2 linked regions of the Mytilus edulis genome follow. The protein of the gene in region 1 binds, or shares a complex with, the protein of each later gene. Links are inferred from orthologs where the notes say so. Each region holds a gene or a part of one and is shown in the gene's direction. Other genes may lie near its edges.

Evidence for each region.
Region 2: general transcription factor IIF subunit 2-like (region 1) and DNA-directed RNA polymerase II subunit RPB3-like share a complex: the UniProt entries of both Homo sapiens proteins name them as parts of the TBP-based Pol II pre-initiation complex. The link is inferred for Mytilus edulis from reciprocal best matches to the Homo sapiens genes GTF2F2 and POLR2C.

The regions. Positions count from the first base shown.
Region 1 is NC_092346.1:81,242,001-81,253,153, reverse strand, and holds the start of general transcription factor IIF subunit 2-like, read left to right. Parts: upstream 1-5,891; 5' UTR 5,892-5,959; coding exon 5,960-6,046; intron 6,047-10,116; coding exon 10,117-10,193; intron 10,194-11,150; coding exon 11,151-11,153. Other genes in the region: replication factor C subunit 4-like, read right to left, coding at 2,408-2,517. UniProt on the Homo sapiens protein: TFIIF is a general transcription initiation factor that binds to RNA polymerase II and helps to recruit it to the initiation complex in collaboration with TFIIB.
Region 2 is NC_092348.1:90,690,394-90,701,683, reverse strand, and holds the start of DNA-directed RNA polymerase II subunit RPB3-like, read left to right. Parts: upstream 1-6,762; 5' UTR 6,763-6,829; coding exon 6,830-6,915; intron 6,916-9,468; coding exon 9,469-9,518; intron 9,519-9,915; coding exon 9,916-10,037; intron 10,038-11,290. Other genes in the region: regulation of nuclear pre-mRNA domain-containing protein 1B-like, read right to left, coding at 6,354-6,504. UniProt on the Homo sapiens protein: Core component of RNA polymerase II (Pol II), a DNA-dependent RNA polymerase which synthesizes mRNA precursors and many functional non-coding RNAs using the four ribonucleoside triphosphates as substrates.

The DNA.
Region 1 (11,153 bases):
TACTTATAAGTAAGATTATGAATGAGTTGAGAAACTAATACAATAGTCAATACTTACTACTTCTCCACCCATGGAACATGTTTACTTTTTAGTAAGATTATAAATGAGTTGAGAAACTAATACAACAGTCAATACTTACTACTTCTCCATCCATGGAACATGTTTACTTATTAGTAAGATTATGAATGAGTTGAGAAACTAATACAACAGTCAATACTTACTACTTCTCCATCCATGGAACATGTTTACTTATTAGTAAGATTATGAATGAGTTGAGAAATAATACAATAGTCAATACTTACTACTTCTCCATCCATGGAACATGTTTACTTATTAGTAAGATTATGAATGAGTTGAGAAATAATACAATAGTCAATACTTACTACTTCTCCATCCATGGAACATGTTTACTTATTAGTAAGATTATGAATGAGTTGAGAAACTAATACAACAGTCAATACTTACTACTTCTCCACCCATGGAACATGTTTACTTATTAGTAAGATTATGAATGAGTTGAGAAACTAATACAACAGTCAATACTTACTACTTCTCCACCCATGGAACATGTTTACTTATTAGTAAGATTATGAATGAGTTGAGAAATAATACAATAGTCAATACTTACTACTTCTCTATCCATGGAACATGTTTACTTATTAGTAAGATTATGAACATGTTTACTTATTAGTAAGATTATAAATGAGTTGAGAAATAATACAACAGTCAATACTTACTACTTCTCCACCCATGGAACATGTTTACTTATTAGTAAGATTATAAATGAGTTGAGAAACTAATACAATAGTCAATACTTACTACTTCTCCACCCATGGAACATGTTTACTTATTAGTAAGATTATGAATGAGTTGAGAAACTAATACAATAGTCAATACTTACTACTTCTCCATCCATGGAACATGTTTATTTATTAGTAAGATTATGAACATGTTTACTTTTTAGTAAGATTATAAATGAGTTGAGAAACTAATACAACGGTCAATACTTACTACTTCTCCATCCATGGAACATGTTTACTTATTAGTAAGATTATGAATGAGTTGAGAAACTAATACAATAGTCAATACTTACTACTTCTCCACCCATGGAACATGTTTACTTATTAGTAAGATTATGAATGAGTTGAGAAACTAATACAATAGTCAATACTTACTACTTCTCCATCCATGGAACATGTTTATTTATTAGTAAGATTATGAACATGTTTACTTTTTAGTAAGATTATAAATGAGTTGAGAAACTAATACAACGGTCAATACTTACTACTTCTCCATCCATGGAACATGTTTACTTATTAGTAAGATTATGAATGAGTTGAGAAACTAATACAACAGTCGATACTTACTACTTCTCCATCCATGGAACATGTCTACTTATTAGTAAGATTATAAATGAGTTGAGAAACTAATACAACAGTCAATACTTACTACTTCTCCACCCATGGAACATGTTTACTTATTAGTAAGATTATGAATGAGTTGAGAAACTAATACAATAGTCAATACTTACTACTTCTCCACCCATGGAACATGTTTACTTTTTAGTAAGATTATAAATGAGTTGAGAAACTAATACAACAGTCAATACTTACTACTTCTCCATCCATGGAACATGTTTACTTATTAGTAAGATTATGAATGAGTTGAGAAACTAATACAATAGTCAATACTTACTACTTCTCCATCCATGGAACATGTTTACTTATTAGTAAGATTATGAATGAGTTGAGAAACTAATACAATAGTCAATACTTACTACTTCTCCACCCATGGAACATGTTTACTTATTAGTAAGATTATGAACATGTTTACTTTTTAGTAAGATTATAAATGAGTTGAGAAACTAATACAACAGTCAATACTTACTACTTCTCCATCCATGGAACATGTTTACTTATTAGTAAGATTATGAATGAGTTGAGAAACTAATACAACAGTCAATACTTACTACTTCTCCACCCATGGAACATGTTTACTTTTTAGTAAGATTATGAATGAATCGAGAAACTAATACAACAGTCAATACTTACTACTTCTCCACCCATGGAACATGTTTACTTATTAGTAAGATTATGAACATGTTTACTTTTTAGTAAGATTATAAATGAGTTGAGAAACTAATACAACAGTCAATATTTACTACTTCTCCATCCATGGAACATGTTTACTTATTAGTAAGATTATGAATGAGTTGAGAAACTAATACAATAGTCAATACTTACTACTTCTCCACCCATGGAACATGTTTACTTATTAGTAAGATTATGAATGAGTTGAGAAACTAATACAACAGTCAATACTTACTACTTCTCCACCCATGGAACATGTTTACTTTTTAGTAAGATTATGAATGAGTTGAGAAACTAATACAACAGTCAATACTTACTACTTCTCCACCCATGGAACATGTTTACTTTTTTCTCTTGTTGGTTCTTTTGAAGTTGGTTTATCTTTTGTCTTGGTTAAACCAGATTTTCCAGTCAAGAATGCTTGCATTGTAGAAATCTAAAATGACATACATATTGCATATATACATTAGTGTCATGATTATTACAAGTTTAGATATGTATTTTAGTAGTGCTTTGCATGTATTTCCATATGCCTGTGCTGTTATATATCTTGTCTGTGTTTTAATGTTATTTTATCTTCGGTGAAAAGCTCTTAACCCTTTCACCGATAGCTGCCCAGAAAGAAGCTACTCTGAGACGATGGCTTCCCTGGCTACTATTACTCAAGTGGGAGATCTTCATAATAAATGTCAATAAAAACTTGTCTATAGTTATTTGTGTCTTTATTTCATTCACTAACACCATGTTCACAGTTTTGTTCATGTTTTGATAATTTTTTCTTCATAAAATATTAATGAGGCTGTACAAATTCCTTACACTGAACGATGTCCATTCCAAGTGTTTTGTACATGAAACGACATTTTATGTAAAAAAAAGTATACACATTTGGCTTCAATTCTTCCATATTCTTTCAAAAAAAATGTTCCCTCATTTCAAATTCTTGTTAATTCCGTAAATTTCCTTGGATTTTGACATGGTTTTCAACAAACAGAAGCGCCATGTTTACACTTTCATTAGGGTATCCAACAAAGAAAGATAACTCATGTTTGCACTGTTTTTAGCAGGAAATATAAAAGAGGTATTCCGATCCCGGTAAAACGGGACTCATCGGCAAAAGGGTTAAGAGCTTATGTTTGTATTGTTATACATGTATATGTAAACCGAATCAAAATAAAACTTTATTATTCGTATAAGTACATAATCATAAATAAACTATGAATTCAATAAATATTTACATGTACATGTACGATGTGCCACAGTCGCCTGAAGATTTCATAATAATAAAAAATGGGGGAAATATTTCAACCATATTTTGCTTGAAATCTTCAGGCGACTGTGGAAAATATGTGCTAATTATCAAGTCTTGGACACAAAGCTTCAATTATGGTAATCAGTTAGCCATCCCAATGATCGACATTTAAAAAAAGATATTAAACTTCACTTTCAATGTTCTGACATTAACTGTAAAAAGGCAGTGCATCATTTGAAGTGTGCAACATCAGCAACAGCATTCTGGTATGTGCTTTCTGGCCGGGCCCGAATTAGTGGTGTTACAACTTTAGATAAAGGTATCAATGATAATTCACAGGTTGATTTTTTCTGTCAATCATGATTCACAGAAAATAAATTTCCATGATCACGATCACAAAAATATAAAAAAAAAAATCTGTAGAAAAATGGATCATGCGAAAATGTGCCGATCACAAAGAACGAAAATAACCCATCAGGCCCCTCCCTCATAATAGTAAATTACTTTTTTCCTTAATATTTAAAAGATTTTATTTTGAGTGCTTCGTTTTTCCCAGATTTTTTTCTGTGCAACGTTTTTGCGATTTGAACAGAACATCAATAATTATTTTGTGCTTTGAAGACATAAAGGTGGGTCTCATTGGGATCTAAGCGTGATGTGGGATTACTGATTTTTTGTCAGCATGATACGTTAAAGTCAAATTATTGTGCCGTGAAAACGGGAAATGTTGTATAGGCTATAGCAGGACACAGGAAATTACAAGAAAAGGAGAATTGCTTACGTTCATCTAATCGAATTCGTGGATGACATCACTAAAAATATGAGTGCAGGTAAACAGACAGATGTTCTTATAATGGATTTCTCAAAGGCATTTGATAAAGTCGGTCACAGTCTCCTAGTACACAAACTAGAACATTACGGTATCAGTGGTAAAACCAATAGATGGATTGCCAGCTTCCTATCACACCGAACGCAAGCAGTGGTTGTGGATGGAGAGTGCTCATCACATATTGATGTAGAATCTGGAGTTCCCCAAGGCTCTGTCCTTGGTCCTGCATTATTCCTGTTCTACATCAACGACATGCCAGATGGGATCAAATCCACTGTCCGCCTATTTGCTGATGATACAATAGCATATCTTACCATCTCATCCGACAAAGATTCAAACGACCTTCAAAGCGACCTCGACAAACTAGGAACATGGGAAGCCAAATGGAAAATGTCCTTCCATCCGGACAAATGCAACGTTCTTACCATCAGCCGCAAAAACAACACCATTCCAACATCTTACACATTGCATGGTCACAAACTGGAACCTGTCAAAAGTGCTAAATACCTTGGTTGCACCTTCACATCCGAACTGAAGTGGAATGATCATATCAATAATATATGCAACAAAGCCAACAGGACTATAGGCTTCCTAAAGAGAAATCTAAATATAGGAGCAACCTCAGTAAAAGAAAATGCATACAAAAGCCTTGCAAGACCAATAATAGAGTATGCAAGTCCAGTATGGGACCCATACTTTAAAACCGAAATAGATCGTTTAGAAATGGTCCAGAGAAGAGCAGCAAGATACGTTTCCAACAAACACCATAATCACTCAAGTGTCAGCAAAATGATTGAGCACCTGGAATGGCCATCTCTGGAAAAAAGGCGAAAAGATGCTAGGCTAACTATGCTCTATAAAATAGAACACGACAAAGTGGCTGTAATTAAGGAAGGTCGTCTTATGCAACCAACACGACTGTCGAGGAACATGCACGACAAAAGTTTCCAAATTCCAGCAAGCAGAAGTGATTACAGAAAATACTCATTTTTCCCAAGAACAATCAGGGATTGGAACGCTCTCCCTCCTGGGGTAGCATCAGCACCGTCAGTCGAGGCCTTTAAAGCCTCACTGACAAAGCTGAACTAATTTATTGAAATTGGGGGGGGGGGGGGGTCTGCATGCGCACCTCAGTCATGACATAATAATCAGCTCGTTGATTGTGGTCATTATCAGGCAGAAGCAGAAGCATAGTCATGATATTGTAAGCGGGATACGGGAATCTGACAAAACAGTAAGCAGGATCAGAACCCCCCCTTCCCTCAATGAGACCCCCATAAACTAAGTAATAAACAAATTTGACAGAACTTAACGCAGAGGTGTATCATAGATGTATGCAATATATGAATATAAAAAAAAATATATAAAAATATATGAATATAAAAAAATTATTCTATTCTAATACTTCTTGGTTATTGTATTAGGTTGAGCAGCTTTGTTTACTTTAGTCTTTAAAATATTATTATCTTGATGTGAACTGGTGAATGAGCAATCGATTCTCAGCTGTTCTGCAATGAAAGTTTATTTCCCGCTAAAAAAAATTGTGGAGTGAGTAAAAGGAAGATTAATAAGACAAATTGTGATCACGATAATTTTGGTTGAATCTTGTTTTTCAAAACACTGGTTATATTTTTCATCATGTCAGATATTTATAATTCCCCACTAAAAAACTGCAATGAAAGACAGATTTGATGTCGAAATTTCTGAGGCGAAATTTCCGTACAATTTAGCTTTTATTCACAACATGTAATTTTTGTACCTTCACGTTAAAGAACTAAACTTTCAGCTGTAATGTCTATGCCCCCAGAGTTTGAGAAGGCTCATACCCCAAGAGATGTAGATCTTAATGCTGCAGGAAGAGGTGTATGGTTGGTTAAGGTAAACTCACTTGTTACATCACTTATTTGTGACACACAGCAGTGAAAGCATAGTCATGATACATGTAGTCCCTTCTGAGAAAATATTTTTATTGTTTACCTGTTTACTTTGTTGTACCACCTGCTGAATCCGGGTCCGTCCGCCCTGATTCTGGTTCGCCCTAGTTTCTGTTCGCCCTAATACCTGTTCGCCCCGAGTCCGTTCGCCCTGATTTTATTTTTTAGTATAGTGTTGCGTTGTGTGTATATAATTGAATGTGTTGAAGTCAGTCTTCAATTTCGCCGAATATTTATGATGTATCGTGTTATTTTGTCTAAATCTCGTGACACCAAATCGCCGGCACTGCAGCCGTCCCGCTAGACCACACGACCACCTGGGCTTCACAAAATATAAAGCTTTCGGTGGCTGTGTGTTACCTTTCCTCGTCAGTTTTAATCTAGCGGCGTACTACAGTACATGATATATAAGGCATGGAGATGTTATTGTTACAGATCAGCTCAATTATCTATAGTAAAGGATCCTACAAATTAATGCAAGATACAGTCACAGAAAATAATTATATTTATAAGTACGTCTGAGTCAGTGACAACTCTACAACAGATGTATCCATCGGATCACCAGCAATGATGGTGATACATGGCTGTGTACATAATGTATATACAACTCGTCTAATCATCAACCCAACAATGTTAGATCTGTAAATTTGCTTTCGAAATTTTTTCGTTCATTGATGTAACATATATATATCAATAATGAATTTAGGACGAACAAACCCAGGGCGAACGGACTATCAGGGCGAACAAACTCAGTGCGAACGAACCTAGGGCGAACGATCCCGATACCCCACCTGCTACTGTTGTAAAATTTCCTGTAGACTACAGTGCAAATCAAATGATCATACAACAAGGCATATTTATTGTCTACAATACTGGTATAAAAATTTTGTACCAGTATTGTAACTTTTTTTTTTAAAACAACAATACTGGTACATTACTGATATACCAGTATTGTAGTTGTATAATTGTTGACTATACTTTAAGGTGTATAATGAAAAATTAATTTTAAGCAAAATTAGATTTTGAAGTTCAAAGGGAGATTAAATGAACACAAAAAGATTATAGAGGATTATTGTGAAATCAATAAAAGATTAATTACCTATATATATATATATATGTATTGTTTATTTAAAAAAACACAATATTGGTACAATACTGGAATACAATACTGGTACAAATTTTTTATACCAGTATTGTGCACAATACTTGTATACCAGTATTGCGATCACCAACTACAGGAGATCCATGGAATTTACTATCACAAACTATAATTGAAACCACCACTGTTGAGATCCGCTAACACCAGCTGTTCTCTCTAGCTTCAAATAAACAAATTCAAACAAAACATGTACATATATTTTTAATCAAAATCTGTATATACAAACACTCCAATTGTTATAAATTATTTTTATGAATTTTGTATAAATTTTTGTCAATCACGCATGCGCAACAACATGTATTCTTCAGTATTGAAGCCTTGTTGACCTTAAAGAAGAAGAAGAAAAAAATTAATTGCAATGGATCATGGCAGGCACATGTATACACCTTATCTGAATATCGCTACATATGTGTTTGTATTTGGAAATCTGTCCAGCCTGACCCAGGAAATATGCTATTTAAAATTCAACACAGGCTTTAATAATATCGATATAGATAGACAACAATATCTAATAACCAATGACAGTCGGACCAGAGGTATAGGCCGCTTTTACCAGGAAAGAACAAAAACTGACACCTATGGACAGTCATTCTTCCCAAAGACCATCACTGCATCAGGGATTGGAATCAACTTCCAGCTAAAACAACATCGGCTGACTCGATAGAGGGATTCAGAGATGCTCTGAAAGCAGGCTCTGGAAGGAAGTGGACAGCATAGAGTGTATATAATTTTAATTGTAAATTGGCGAACGTTTTAAATGTAAATAACTTTGAGAAGACTTGCTGCCTTGCCAGGTACTGCGCTAAGTTTTCGCGGGACCATACACATTCAATATGAATTTGGTTCCTTACTTCGAAAAGAAGAAGAAGAAGAGGAGTCTGTCCCACTTGAACTTTTGACATCTTACAACAATCACTTTTCCACTGTGGCGTCAAAATATTGTTATTATGATGTTAAAATTTTACAGGAACTTATGTGATGTCCAGTAATGGCGGACAGATAGGCTAGCAATAAGGTGTATAAGGATAAACTGAGTCAGGACATAATTTATCTAGTGAAATGTAATTTATTATTTTAGTGTTTGCCAGCAATCACCTAATCACTATTTTTCAGCAGTTACTGGATATCACAAAGTTCTCATAAAATTTTGACGTCATAATAGAAAATTTTACAAAGTATCTGAAGCCGCAATGCATGGAAAGTACATGTAATTGTTGGATGATGTCAAAAGTTCATTTGGACAGATTCTCGGGTCAAGTGGGACAGATTTCTAAATAGCAATAAGGTGTATTATTTCTGTAAGGAATCTGCGTCCAAATGTTTTACAACTACTTTTTGGCTGCTCTCAAACAAATAACAATAAAGGTTCAATTAACTTGATGTGTGGTCCAATAAAAGTGGACATACATGTTCATGTACAACCACCAATACAGGTGACACTTTTTTAAAATTAATATTAATTTAAAAGATATTTTCGATTTTAGAATGAGGGATGTATGTTGGACAGGTGGGGCCAAACAGTGTCCATTCATTCACATGAAAATGCTTTGATGAAATTTTTTCAAATTCAGATATGTGACTTATTATGTGATTGAGTTATTGCCCATTGAACAAAAAATAATAATTTTTTGAATTTTAGAAAACTATTTTGTTAGTGATTAAATCATATCTAATTTTAGGTTTACGTTACTGGTTCATGTATATATTATTGTGTTTGAGTTATTTCCCTTTGAACAGAAATAGTTTAATTCATTCAAGTATTTCATCAAAAATTAAATTTTGGGGTTCTTTGATATGCTGTTTCTAACAATCATGTCAATGTACTTAGATTTTGGATATTGGACCATAATATTAATAGGTAAATGTTCATTTTCATTTTTTCAGTTTTTTTTACCACATTCATTATGCATGTTATGTGTCACAAACCTATGCTGTATCAAATATTCAATCACAAATTCACAACCCAAAATCAGAGCTGTTTTAAGCTTAAATGTTGTGTCAATACTTGCTCAATTTCTCTCAACAGTTTCTTGTTTAAATGATTTATTGTTTGTTGGTTGCTTAACTACTGGTGGCAAATATTTTTTTTAAATGAGCAGTTAAGCAATTAGAAATCAGAAATCATCATAATTTTTTATGACTTGTTTGCTATAAAACATCAAACACCAGCTGAGCCTAAACACTTCTCAGCATCATCGAACTAGTACCTCTGTTATACATTTGTAGTGAAGTCAGTCAAAATAGTACAGAATGACAAATAAATAAATAAATAAGCTTTTTTGAAAGTCAGCACAGTAGACTAACAGAAAACATAACATGAGCTCTATTGATCTTTTAACCGAAATACAACACAACAATTTTCTTATACAATACATGCAATAAGTTACATAACACAAAATAATGCACTTTTAGCATGGTAGTATTAAATAATAAGCAGGTAATAAGCATGAAAAGTTAGGTATTCAAGTTATAAGCATGAAAAGTTAGGTATTCAAGTTAAAAGCATATGAAAAAGGTTAACTAAGCACGATAAGAAATCTGGTAAAATGCATACATGATAGCATAAAATATGAAATATATATATATAATCTTGTATGATTTTAATTTTTAGTTTCTTGTGTATAATTCGGAGTTTAGTATGACGTCCATTATCACTGTACTATTATGCATATTTTAGGGGCCAGCTGAAGGACACCTACGGGTGCGGGAATTCTCGCTACATTGAAGACCCATTGGTTGCCTTCGGCTGTTGTTTGCTCTATGGTCGGGTGGTTGTCGCTTTGACTTATTCACCATTTCCTTTCTCAATTTTATATAGGATATGATCTAAATGGTAATTTTTTTAACTATTTTAGGTACCAAAGTATTTGTCAGAAAAGTGGAGTCATGCAGATGGTGGAGAAGTTGGAAAGCTCAAAATCACAAGATCAAAGTAAGACCTTAATTTGCAGGGAAGATGCATTATTCTTCTTTAAATTTTTCTCATTCTTTTTCTCATACCTTTACAAAATGTTTTTTTTTTGGTTCTTTCTGAACAAAGAGTCATCAGGCATTTTGGTTTAACTCTGTCCATTTTCCTTCTGTAATAAGGTAAGTTAATTCTATTTAAAATCTGCACATATTTTGAATCAACAATAAGCATGAGCTTGAGAAATCTCCTGCAACCAACTACATGTATAACATATATACAAGCTTTATTTCAAAAAGAAGAAGACCTGGAAACTTCATACACGTATCTGCTATAATAGTATACATATGTCTTTTGTTCTAAGGTTACAATGTTTCCTGTTAATTAATTGTCCTTCAATTTCATGCTTAAAGAAACTGATAATTATAAAAAAGAAGATGTGGTATGATTGCCAATGAGATAACTCTCAATAAGAGATTAAAATGACACAGACACTGACAACTATAGGTAATTTTTTGTTCTTGATGGTATGATAAGTTGTACATGTTTGTCTGTCAGTGTTCATCTGAACTTGACCTCATTTTCATGGAAACATTTTTGTGTTCGGTCTTTTTCTCAAATGACTTGAACAAAAACATGATAGAATAACTTTATTTGTGGTATGGACTGATTGCAAGATGTAAATAACTGTTTCATGGTTCATTGATAAGATTGAGTTTATGGGATACCTGAAGTAAAACTTTTATCGTAAAGACTTTAAAATTTCAGCATTTCCAATCTTGTTTTTCATTGAGTAATTTGTTATATCTATATTTTAGATATTATATAATTTTTATCTGCTTCATGTTTTCTTGATATAATTCATGTTCGCCATTTATAAGTTTTCATTCATTGGCCAGGACATATATACAAATTCATATTTTGCCAGGACACATCAATGAAAATGTGTGAATGTTTGACTGTAAGAACTTTTTTTATTAGATT
Region 2 (11,290 bases), on another chromosome or scaffold:
CATAATAAATAATAGGTTTGTTTGCCCAAAGCTACCTACCCAGAAAAAAGCTGCCTACTCAAATTCTTTTATTGTCCTGATTTGTAGAAGTTTTTTTTTTAATCAAATAGGCATAAAGACAAATAAACATCTGATACTTCAATTTCTTTTTTTTGAAAAAAAAAAAAAAGAAAATGAATACCTACCTACCCACTGTCAAAACCTTTGGGTAGGGTTTGGGCAAACCAAAATATTTTTAAGTGTGGCCTTGTTCAACTTGATATCATACATGTACATGTAGATCATATCAATATTCATGTACATGTACATGTAGTCTGTAGAATCTGTTTCTCTAATTATTTTTAGGTGTCATACCACCAATTACTCCCTCAAATTTAGAACGTATGTGAAAGTAGGCCTACTCGGACAAAAAATAGTGCATTTGATGTCATTGTTCACCTAAACTAACCAAAAAATTTGCAGAAATAAAACTTTGGTTGAAAGAGAAATATATCAAGACCATTTTGAGCCAAATTTTATCTGTCTAGGAGTTTGCATTTAAAATTGAGGATTAATACACTCCATGGTATACTAATTTAAGATTTTCAGAAAACCAGGGGTTATTTTTAGTGGTACCTCCTTTCGGAAGCTCTCTTCTTTCTTATATGATTTAGAATGTATACTGAAAATTGGCATGCAGAAAGGTGACACCTGTACAATTCAGGATATACCTAGTTTCTATGAAGTTAAACTTAAGGTAAAATATTTAGAAAGCTGTGAAAATTGCAAAATTTGGTTGAACAGATAGGGACTTTTAATTGGTGGTATGACACCTTTAAGCGAAATGCGGTGATACATCAAATTCAGAAAACAATTGATTTTTTTTGTCTTAACTGATATTTTGAAATAATACTAGGCACATTTCAATCTTTTTGGGGGCAAAATGTCACATATTGCATATTTAGAGCCTAAAACTTGAGTTTGTGCTATTTTTAGCTTTTCTCACCCTGACAATATGCTTTAATATAAAAAAATGTCCTAAATTGTTATAAATGCACAGAAAGTTGTATCTGTGGTGTTAAACATTAAAACATAGGTTATTTACTACCCCCAAAAAATTTTGTTATGCAGATTTAATGAAATTATTTGATTTTTACCCCTTATTTCATTGCGTCATACTATTTACTTGGAAGATAGCATAGCCTAATGTAAACACTGCAGAAACTCACAAAAATACCATTTATTATTCCAAATGAAATTTTTATATCTTAAATTTTATTAACTGATGTAAATAAAAACAGTTTAATGACCATGACTGCACTTTTGATCAATTTGTAGTACTTTACTGACACCAGATGAAAAAAAGGGGGGTCAATATTCCATGACACTTCAATACCTTGGATTTTTTACTAAATTCATTGCGAAAACTGTTGAAAGTCTTTAAAGTAGTAGAACAAACAAGGAAAAATAAGCAAAAACTGATCTTGATATTGAAAGTTTATGTTCCTGTAGCCCAAAATGAAATTTTCAAGTATTTTCTATCAAAGTCATACATTACAGTCAGTTTAAATTGAGCTGTGAAATTTTTAATATAAGTTGCATTATGCTCAGAAAGGCTGTTTTTAACTTCAAATTGACTAAGGATTAAGAATAAAGCAAAACAAAAGATTTCTAATCTACTTTTTTGTCTCTTTAGGTGTCATACCACCAATTACTCCCTCAAATTTAGAACGTATGTGAAAGTAGGCCTACTCGGACAAAAAATAGTGCATTTGATGTCATTGTTCACCTAAACTAACCAAAAAATTTGCAGAAATAAAACTTTGGTTGAAAGAGAAATATATCAAGACCATTTTGAGCCAAATTTTATCTGTCTAGGAGTTTGCATTTAAAATTGAGGATTAATACACTCCATGGTATACTAATTTAAGATTTTCAGAAAACCAGGGGTTATTTTTAGTGGTACCTCCTTTCGGAAGCTCTCTTCTTTCTTATATGATTTAGAATGTATACTGAAAATTGGCATGCAGAAAGGTGACACCTGTACAATTCAGGATATACCTAGTTTCTATGAAGTTAAACTTAAGGTAAAATATTTAGAAAGCTGTGAAAATTGCAAAATTTGGTTGAACAGATAGGGACTTTTAATTGGTGGTATGACACCTTTAAGACAATATGCAGACACTCAATCCTGCTTTTCAAAGATCTACAAAAAATTTATTTCTATGTGATTTCAACATGCATTGTTGTTTCTTCTAAGACATCACAATAGGAAATTTGTAGATCAAAGAAAATTTGAGACCAAAATATGTAAATAGATATAATCATTAAACTGGTTAAAAAAAGGATGAATCAGATAAGAATTATAGAAACATATGTTTATATACATGTACATTGTACATTTGTATGTATATATAAAAATAAGATGTGGTATGAATGTCAATGAGAAAATATCCACAAGAGACCAAATGGCACAGAAATTAACAGCAATACAATGTAGGTCACTGTGTGGCCTTATAAGACAACGATGAGCAAAGCCCATTCCCATTTGTCAGCTTTACAATTTGTTAAATGGCCTGCAATGACAAATGTAAAGCTGTTCAAATGTGAAACTGTCCAAATATAAGAAAATAAAGGGTGGCAGATAGATGAAACTTAATAAATGAAGAGATAAATGAAAAATTAAGACCCTCAGTCAGCTCCAGAAGCAACAAAGCAAAATTAATGCATTGGTTTTGGTCCGGTAAATATCCACTTTATAATATGGGACAAGCTCTGATGTCCCACGGCTGCACATTGTCTGGCAAAACAACCGTAGGATGTCAGAGTATGCATGAATAGTTAAGAAAAGTAATCATGTGCTTACTCACATCGGGGGTCTCATTGGGGGGTTCTAATCCCAGATACCCCTTACTGTTTTGTCAGATTCCTTTATCACTCTTGCGCTATGTATGTAAGCAATTCTCATTTTTTTGTGATTTCCAATGTCCTGCAAGAATTCATTTCCCGTTATTACGGCAAAATAATTTGACTTTCACATGTCATGCTTACAAAAAATCCGCAATCCTGCTTCATGCTAAAAATGCTTAGACCCCAATGAGACCCACCACATCATGCACATATTTCATAAAATTTAAAACTCTTTACATTTAATAATATTCATATCCTTATTTACTATTTGATATGTTTCCCGACCAGTTATATTATGGTTGAATCCATGACAAATCGCCCCACTGGCAAATCGCCCCACACCTAATCGCCCCACTTTTTAACCAACTCGCCCCACTTTAAAAAAAAAACGCCCCACTTGTGAAATGTGTTAAATCCCGTTAATATTACTCCTGCCAACTCGCCCCACTTAATGGAAAACGGTAAAATCTAGATAAATATATTTATATTAACCAGGATGAATTTAGTAATGCCAACTCGCCCCACTTATGGAAAAAGATGTTATCCCGTTGTATATGGGTTAAATCCTGTTAATATATATGTTACAGTAAATAGGTGAAATTAGGAATTACATGTAATTACTAAAATTTAGGAATTACATGTAATTCCCGATGCACTTAGTAAATACAAGTAATTCCTAAAACTGCCCAGTAATTACCAGTAATTACTGAATTAAATTGAATTTTTACACCTATTTACTAACTGTTAAAACAATGTTGTAATATGGTCCACTGATCAAAAGTTATGGTAATACTAATTAGAAAATCATTGAGTATTCAGCTATCAAAATTTTAGGGTTTTGCAGAACCCAGTGTCTCGCCTACTTTTGCTGTGAGTCGCAGGCCCAACAAAAAAGGAAAAAAAATATTTTGTATTTTCTTCTAGATACTATCTTTTGACTAGTTCTGTAAGAATCTTCTATCAAAATTTGTTAAAATTTCAGGATGGTTTATGAAATCTAATCTTTAACTGCAGAGTGTATGTTATGTTAACTGGAAAAAAATAGTCCGTTTAAATAAGAAATATACCAAAAAGTATAGTTTTTTTTACAAACTTTATTTCTAGATATTATCTTATGATCATAAACAAGCGTCTATCCAATTTTGACAGAAATCCAGGATATTTTGAGAAGTTATTAAATTTTTTAAAAGTTAACCACAGTGTGAATGTAATGTTAACTGGCATAAAAACTAAGTCCCTTTATAAGTAAAATACGGAATTTTTTTTTTACAAAATTTACTTCTGGAAATGTATCTTTTGATCATAAACAACTGAAGCTTCTGTTCAAGTTTGGTAGAAATCCAGGATAATTTGAGAAACTTATCAAAATTTAAAAAATATAACCACAGAGCGAATATTTGTGGACGCAGCTGGCGACGGAATTGTTAGGTTGGTTCGCTATGTCTCGCTTTTGCGACAAAAAAAAACAGAGGCTCGATGAAAAGGAAAAGAAATGTCAACATTGAAAGTAAAACAAAAGGGATGGACCATTTAGTTTACTTTTTCAATCCACAAAAAGATCATTCTTATACAGGAAGAAACGATGATAAAATTTTGTTGGAGATATATAGCTTAAGTTTTGAGGTCTTGAAGAACTCATAAAAACACGGAAATATGAAAATGTGACTCTTTACGCCATCAATTTGTATAAATTTGTTTGTGAAGAATGTCAGCTTCATCGCAAATGTCTGACAAAAGAAGTCGTAGTTAAACCTGTTTTGTAAAAGGAATTTAACTCATGTTATTGGCCGAGTTGATATGCAGAGTATGCCTGATGAAGATTTTAATATAACAAAATTATGAGATTTTAAGAATTATAAAGATCATTTAACCAAGTTTGCCATAATCTAATGTCTATCTTAACAATTAAATAGCTGGCTAAGTTGCCTATAAATTTCTCAAAAATGTTTTTCTCAATTTTGGATTGATATCATTGTCTTGCATGTTCAAAATGATTTTTAGGGAGTTTCAAAACTTATAAAACAACCATTTTCCAGTTTCAATTTACAAACACTGAAGAGTATGCACTTTTTATGTGCCTTATCATCCTTGATCCTTAAGTAAGCCCTAAAAATCCCTACCCCTTACTTTCTTATTTGACATCTTGAATTATGTCTTTAATTTTTAAAGAGAAATATCAAGTTAGTAAATAGCTGTAAAAATGACAAAAAAAATCAGTAAATACCTGTAATCACTGAAACAACAAGTAAATACATGTAATTACTAAATTGACTAGTGATTACAGGTATTTACTGAAATGTTTAGTAATTACGTGTAATTCCTAATTTCACCTATTTACTGTAACATATATATATGTTATTCCTTTTTTTTTAAATAGCAGTAAGAAGTGATTATTTTTTTTTAGTATTTTGATAACGTGAATGTCAACTCGCTCCACTTGTGAAAAATAGAAAAATCCTGATGAATTGATTTATGCCAACTAGCCCCACTTATGAAAAGTACAAGTATGAATAGAGTTAAAGGCTTCCAACTAGCACCACTTACGAATAAAATAATTAAACTGTAATGTCATGAATGTGTGTTGGCTTTCCAATTGGTCCCACTTATGAGAACGTTTGAAATGCTTCTTTTTTTTTGTACTTTCTTCTGCATAGTTGAAATAAAACAGAAATAAGGTTAGGAACATCATTTTCTGATTGCTCGTTAGTGTTGAATTATTCTTAATTCAGAGACAAAAGTAACCAATCCAGTAATTGCTATGATAACAAAATTGCTGTTAATTGAAATCCTTTGATATGTTTAATATAACAGGTTTCTTTTCAATTGGCAAATAACTAAGATTACAAGAATACAGTTATTCTCCAACAATACGAAAATTATATTTAGAATTATAATTCCAGTATATCAATAATAGAAATAACATAAATTTTCAGTTTGTTTGTATTTTGTGTAGATTAGTTTTCATTAAAGTGGGGCTAGTTGGCAGACATGAAAATTATATATTAATCTAGATATTACCGTTTTCTATTAAGTGGGGCGAGTTGGCAGGAGTAATATTAACAGGATTTAACACATTTCACATGTGGGGCGATTTTTAAAAATGTGGGGCGATTTGGTGAATCAGTTTGGGGCGTTTTTTTTTAAAGTGGGGCGAGTTGGTGAAGAAGTGGGGCGATTAGGGGTGGGGCGATTTGCCAGTGGGGCGATTTGTCCTGCTTCCTTATGGTTCATGTATGTTTAACTCATTCAGGTACATGTAGCTGGTCCTAACCTTTTCTTGAGACAAAAACTTCTTTTGTGGCTTGCAAGTGCACCTTTACAGACAATGGCAGTTACTAGCTAGCATTGCAGAATGTCAACTCAATGTTGTAAGTTTTATCTTCATCAGAGATATACAATTTTGACATTTTAGACACGTTACACGTGCTGTTCTGTGTATAAGATTTGTGGACAGGTATACTGACCTTTTTGCAATTCTCTCAGCCATACTTGGGTGATGGTTTTTGAATGCTTTCTGTGGTGAATCAGCCATAATGATAACGTCTGAATACTCTGCTGTGTGTTGTTCAGTTCGCTTAATTTCTTTACGAAGTTGCTATCTGTAAATGAAGACATGTTTATGCTGTTTGTTTCTGAGGACCACAGCTGTCCCGAAACCGGAAGTAAACAAGATGTGTCAAATAAATTGCTGTAGGGTATGTTTGATATTTTTATAAAAAAAAACATATTATATGCCTAGCAATGTCAATCTTTAAGTATTTTATTGTTCAAAACGAAGAGCTTGTTCTTTCATTAAGAAGTATTTGTGAAGATCTCGGCATAAAACTGATTTCAAAGATTTTTTTGTAACCTGCCCACCCCTAAAAATTTCAATGGGACAGGACGGTTTTATTTCCGGTTTATGATGTGAGGATTTTTTGAAAGACACAATCGAGAAAAAATGCCTTACGCTAATCAACCTACTGTAACATTAACAGAACTAACAGACGAGAATCTTAAATTTACACTTGAAGATACTGATTTGAGGTTACATAAACACTAAGTTAACATATCTGCTATGCCTCTAACATTAAGATTCTGATACAGGTGCTGCATGTGGTGAAAATATAAAGTGATTTTAAAAATTATGAAATAAACATAACTGTTTTTTTTCTCTTTAAACTAGATACTTCGAATTCTTATTACTGCTGCAACACCGATTTGTAAATGGTTTAATGACATTGCCAAAGAAAAAATGATCAAATAATCATAAGACCTTATTTGATTATATATATATTGCACAATCATGTTTTAGAAGCAGTAAAAACAGTAAATATTTAGGCGTAACTATAAGCCATGATCTTGATTGGGGAACACATATAAACAATATTACCTGTAAGGCAAATAAAACGTAAGATTTTCTTCGTAGGAACTTGAAAAACTGAACACATAAGGTTAAAAACCCTATGTACACATCACTTGTACGCCCAGTCGTCGAATACTCTTCCCTTGTCTGGGATCCGTACTAAAACAACACATCACTCAGGTTGAGCAGGTACAGCGTAAGGCAGCCAGGTTTGTCTTCAATGATTATAAAGACAGATCACCTGGAGCAGTTTCAAATTTAATTAAATCATTGGAATGGGAATTCCGAAAATTTAGAAATAAAAAGGAAAAAAGCTAGATTAACTATGCTATTTAAAATAAATTGGGGGGTTAGTTGAAGTTCCTAAGGACAATTTTACAATATCTGATAGACGTACTAGGGGGAAACATAAATTTAGGCAAATATCAACAAATAAAGATTTCTATAAATTCTCATTTTATCCTCGCACTATTTCGGACTGGAACTCACTACCTGAAGCAATAGGTATGTCTGACACCCTGGAATCCTTCAAAAGTGGCATATCCACTCTAACATTTGAAGGATCCACAACAACTTATTGAACTACAAAGCCACTGTACATAATGTATATATGTTATTGTTAACGATTTTTCTTTGTCATATTATTTTTAAATTAAGTCCATATGTACATAGCACACAAGTTCCGGGAAGTTTTACACTCCTACCTAGGTGTCTACTCACGTATTCGGAAGAAGAAGAAGACATAACTGAACTTCTTCTCTACAAAGCAGGGGCTGCTCTGGCTCACAAAAAATTGGAGCCAGACAAATTGATAGCTTCTATACTTTGTCGCCAGTTCTTGAAAACTTGGAGCCAACTTTATGTTAAAAATCTTAAAAAACAAAGAATATATACCGAAATGTAAAAATCATGATCAAGTTAAGGCATGAAAGAAAAAAATTATAATGGCCTTTCAAGACTCATACATTGTAATTATTTGGACTAGATCAAGCTCTATTTACACCTATTAGTGCCAGAGAATTATTTAAATAGTGCATATTTAAAATACATATAGACTTTCAGTTTGATATCTGTATTCTTTATGGGATAGAGGTTTAAATCTTATAATAACTCAATAATTTGTTTATCCATTCACTTGAGGGATTGTCTGATACTAAATGGTGGTATACGTTATCATTATAGACATTATGTTTCAGTACATCTGTTTTAGTACATAACATTAATTTAATAAAATGTGTTTTTTTATGTTTTAAATTGTAATGTTATTCTTCTGGTTCAGGTAAGGGTTCAACGGTTGCATTTGTTTGCACATGTCTTAATCAAGTCAGGAACTGTTGTTCAGTAGTTGTCCTTTTGTTGATGTGGTTCATAAGTGTTTCTTGTAATAATAAGTTTTTTTTAGAGTAAATTGCTATACTATTTTATGGAATAGCACTAGCATGACTGGATTGGTTTGTAACCATCACAGTTGCAGTGTAGGGCACTATATACATGTAGGTGTTCAATCGTATTTTAGATTGAGCTGGTATTATGGTATTTGTAATGTTTAGATGTTGTTTTCTCTGGATTTTTAATTGGACTTTTGTTTATCTTTTACATGGTTTTGTCTAGTTTTCTTAGACCTTTAATTTATTTTTAATTCCCCCTATCCCTCTAATGGTATCAACTATTGATAAACTAGAACTTTAAAAAGCTTAGGTACAAATGTATATGAATAGATTCAAATCTTCTGTCAATCAATGATGGACAAGTATACAGTGATATTAATGGTGTATAGTGTTTTGCTTTACAAAAAAAAGAGAAATTGTCATCATGTAGGTCATGGTATTTTGGTATTCTTATATATTGTTAATTTTAATGTGATCAAAGGATTTGTTCAATGTTATCAGGTAACTTCATTCTAACATTGAAGTATTTTGATTAATTAGATATACATGTAAAAATGTATGTATGAGTATTAAAAACAAATGGTATTTGGAAAAAAATACACAGTAACAGACATTTGAAATTTACATTGGTTGAAATTTCTGAAAAAAATAATAGTTCAATATTACTTTTAAAAACATAATTCTTTACTGATTGTGACGAGGACGAAAATATTTTGTTTTTTTCATGATGAAAAATTATGTTTATAGTTTCTATACATTTTGTACCTCCGCCTTGAAGATTGAAGGAATGAACTTCTATAGCTATACATTTAATACTGATTATATTTCATTTTATTTGTTTTACAGTGTTGCAAATGCTGTTAGAAGAGTATGCATAGCTGAAGTTCCAACCATGGGTAAATATGATAGGAAATTATATAACATTTATAAGTATGGTATTTTATATTGAAAAAACATGCACGTAGATTGAAGTTTTATTTTTCACTAAAACTACAAAGAAAACAGCCTAACTCCTTAGTGAACTTTCCTTAATGATATGGAAAAAAACAGGTAACAGTAACAATTTTTTTGAATGTCATTTTTCAGTCTGTTGCAAGTCAGAGAGAGGGTTGAAATATGTATAACCCTGTCACACAGTTTGTCTTAAGTAATTGAACGGACAATTTATTACACAAGTCTACATTCTCAATAAGCATTTTGATAAGGTAAATATGTAAAACATAATGTTTTTACAATATTAGTCCTTTTATTTAAATCTCCCTATGTTTGTGATGTTTATGTTATGAATTTCAGCAATAGATTGGGTACAGATGGAATCCAATTCTACAGTGTTATTTGATGAGTTTCTGGCCCACAGAATAGGTTTAATACCACTGACCAGTGATGAAATAGTGGACAGGATGCAGTATTCCAGAGTAAGATTATAATCAACAGAAAAGGATTTTGTGGGTGTACTCTATAACATTTCAGACTTTATAAAGTATGAGATACTGAGCTTTTTTAATCAACCATTTTTAAAAAGGGCACACACAATTGGCTAAAGGTCTTATACAGATGGTGTTATTATTTTAAAACAAGTGTTGCAATCGTCAGCAGATAAAAATGATAAAAAATAGACTACTTCATGTTTGAAGGCAACAGCAGTTTGAATAAAAAATCTGTTTTAAATAATTTCAAGCATGCATATGTGATTACTTATCAAAGTAGAGTAAAGTATTAAAAGTTGAATATGTACTTTATATATCATCTAAGAGTACTCACAATGTGTTCACTTTATATAGATATAGGAAGATGTGGTGTGAGTGCCAATGAGACAACTCTCCATCCAAATAAAAATTTATAAAAGTAAACCATTATAGGTCAATGTACGGCCTTCAACTCACTCCGAACAGCCGAAATTTATGTTCACTTTGTTATAACTCTTGTGAATTTTCACAATGATCGAATGGTTATGATTGTATGAAATAAGGAGATGTGGTATGATTGCCAAAGAGTTACCTTTAGAGCTTTAATAAAATGGATGTTGGCAACTGTAGGCCATGGTATAGCCTTCAACAATGTGAAATGTGTATACTGTTTGTTTATTCATTAGATATTATCTGATTGTTCTAACTCTTTTAATTATCACCAATTATCCTGTTTTAATGGGATTCACTATTCACCAGCTGTGGTGGAATTTGAACAAATCATCTTGTGTGTATAATTACTGTATTTCTCGACTTTTAATGAAAACATATCATTCTATTTGTTAACAACCCATACAATCACATGCATATAATCTTTGAGTTGCTATGATAGCTACTTAAAGATTATATATATATGTGATATTTTATATGTTGTTCATTTTTGGTACCGAAAACTCAGAGGGGAAAGTGAATATGGTTTTATTTTCTGAGGAAGTTGATGGGTTTTTGGAAAGATTGGAACTTGTTCTAAATCTTTCTTAAGGCACTGGCCTCCTTAACAACACGACTGGTTAGCTACTAAATGTATTCACTGCACTGAAATATAGCTCATATAGTTCTCATGTATGTGCACAGAATACACATATAATTGTGAAAAAATGGGTATATTTTTGGAGCGGTTCATTTAAGAATGTATGTCATTAGGGTGTGTTCATGTGCAGGCTTTTTAATTAGTTTGCATAATTAATTGAGTATTGATACAA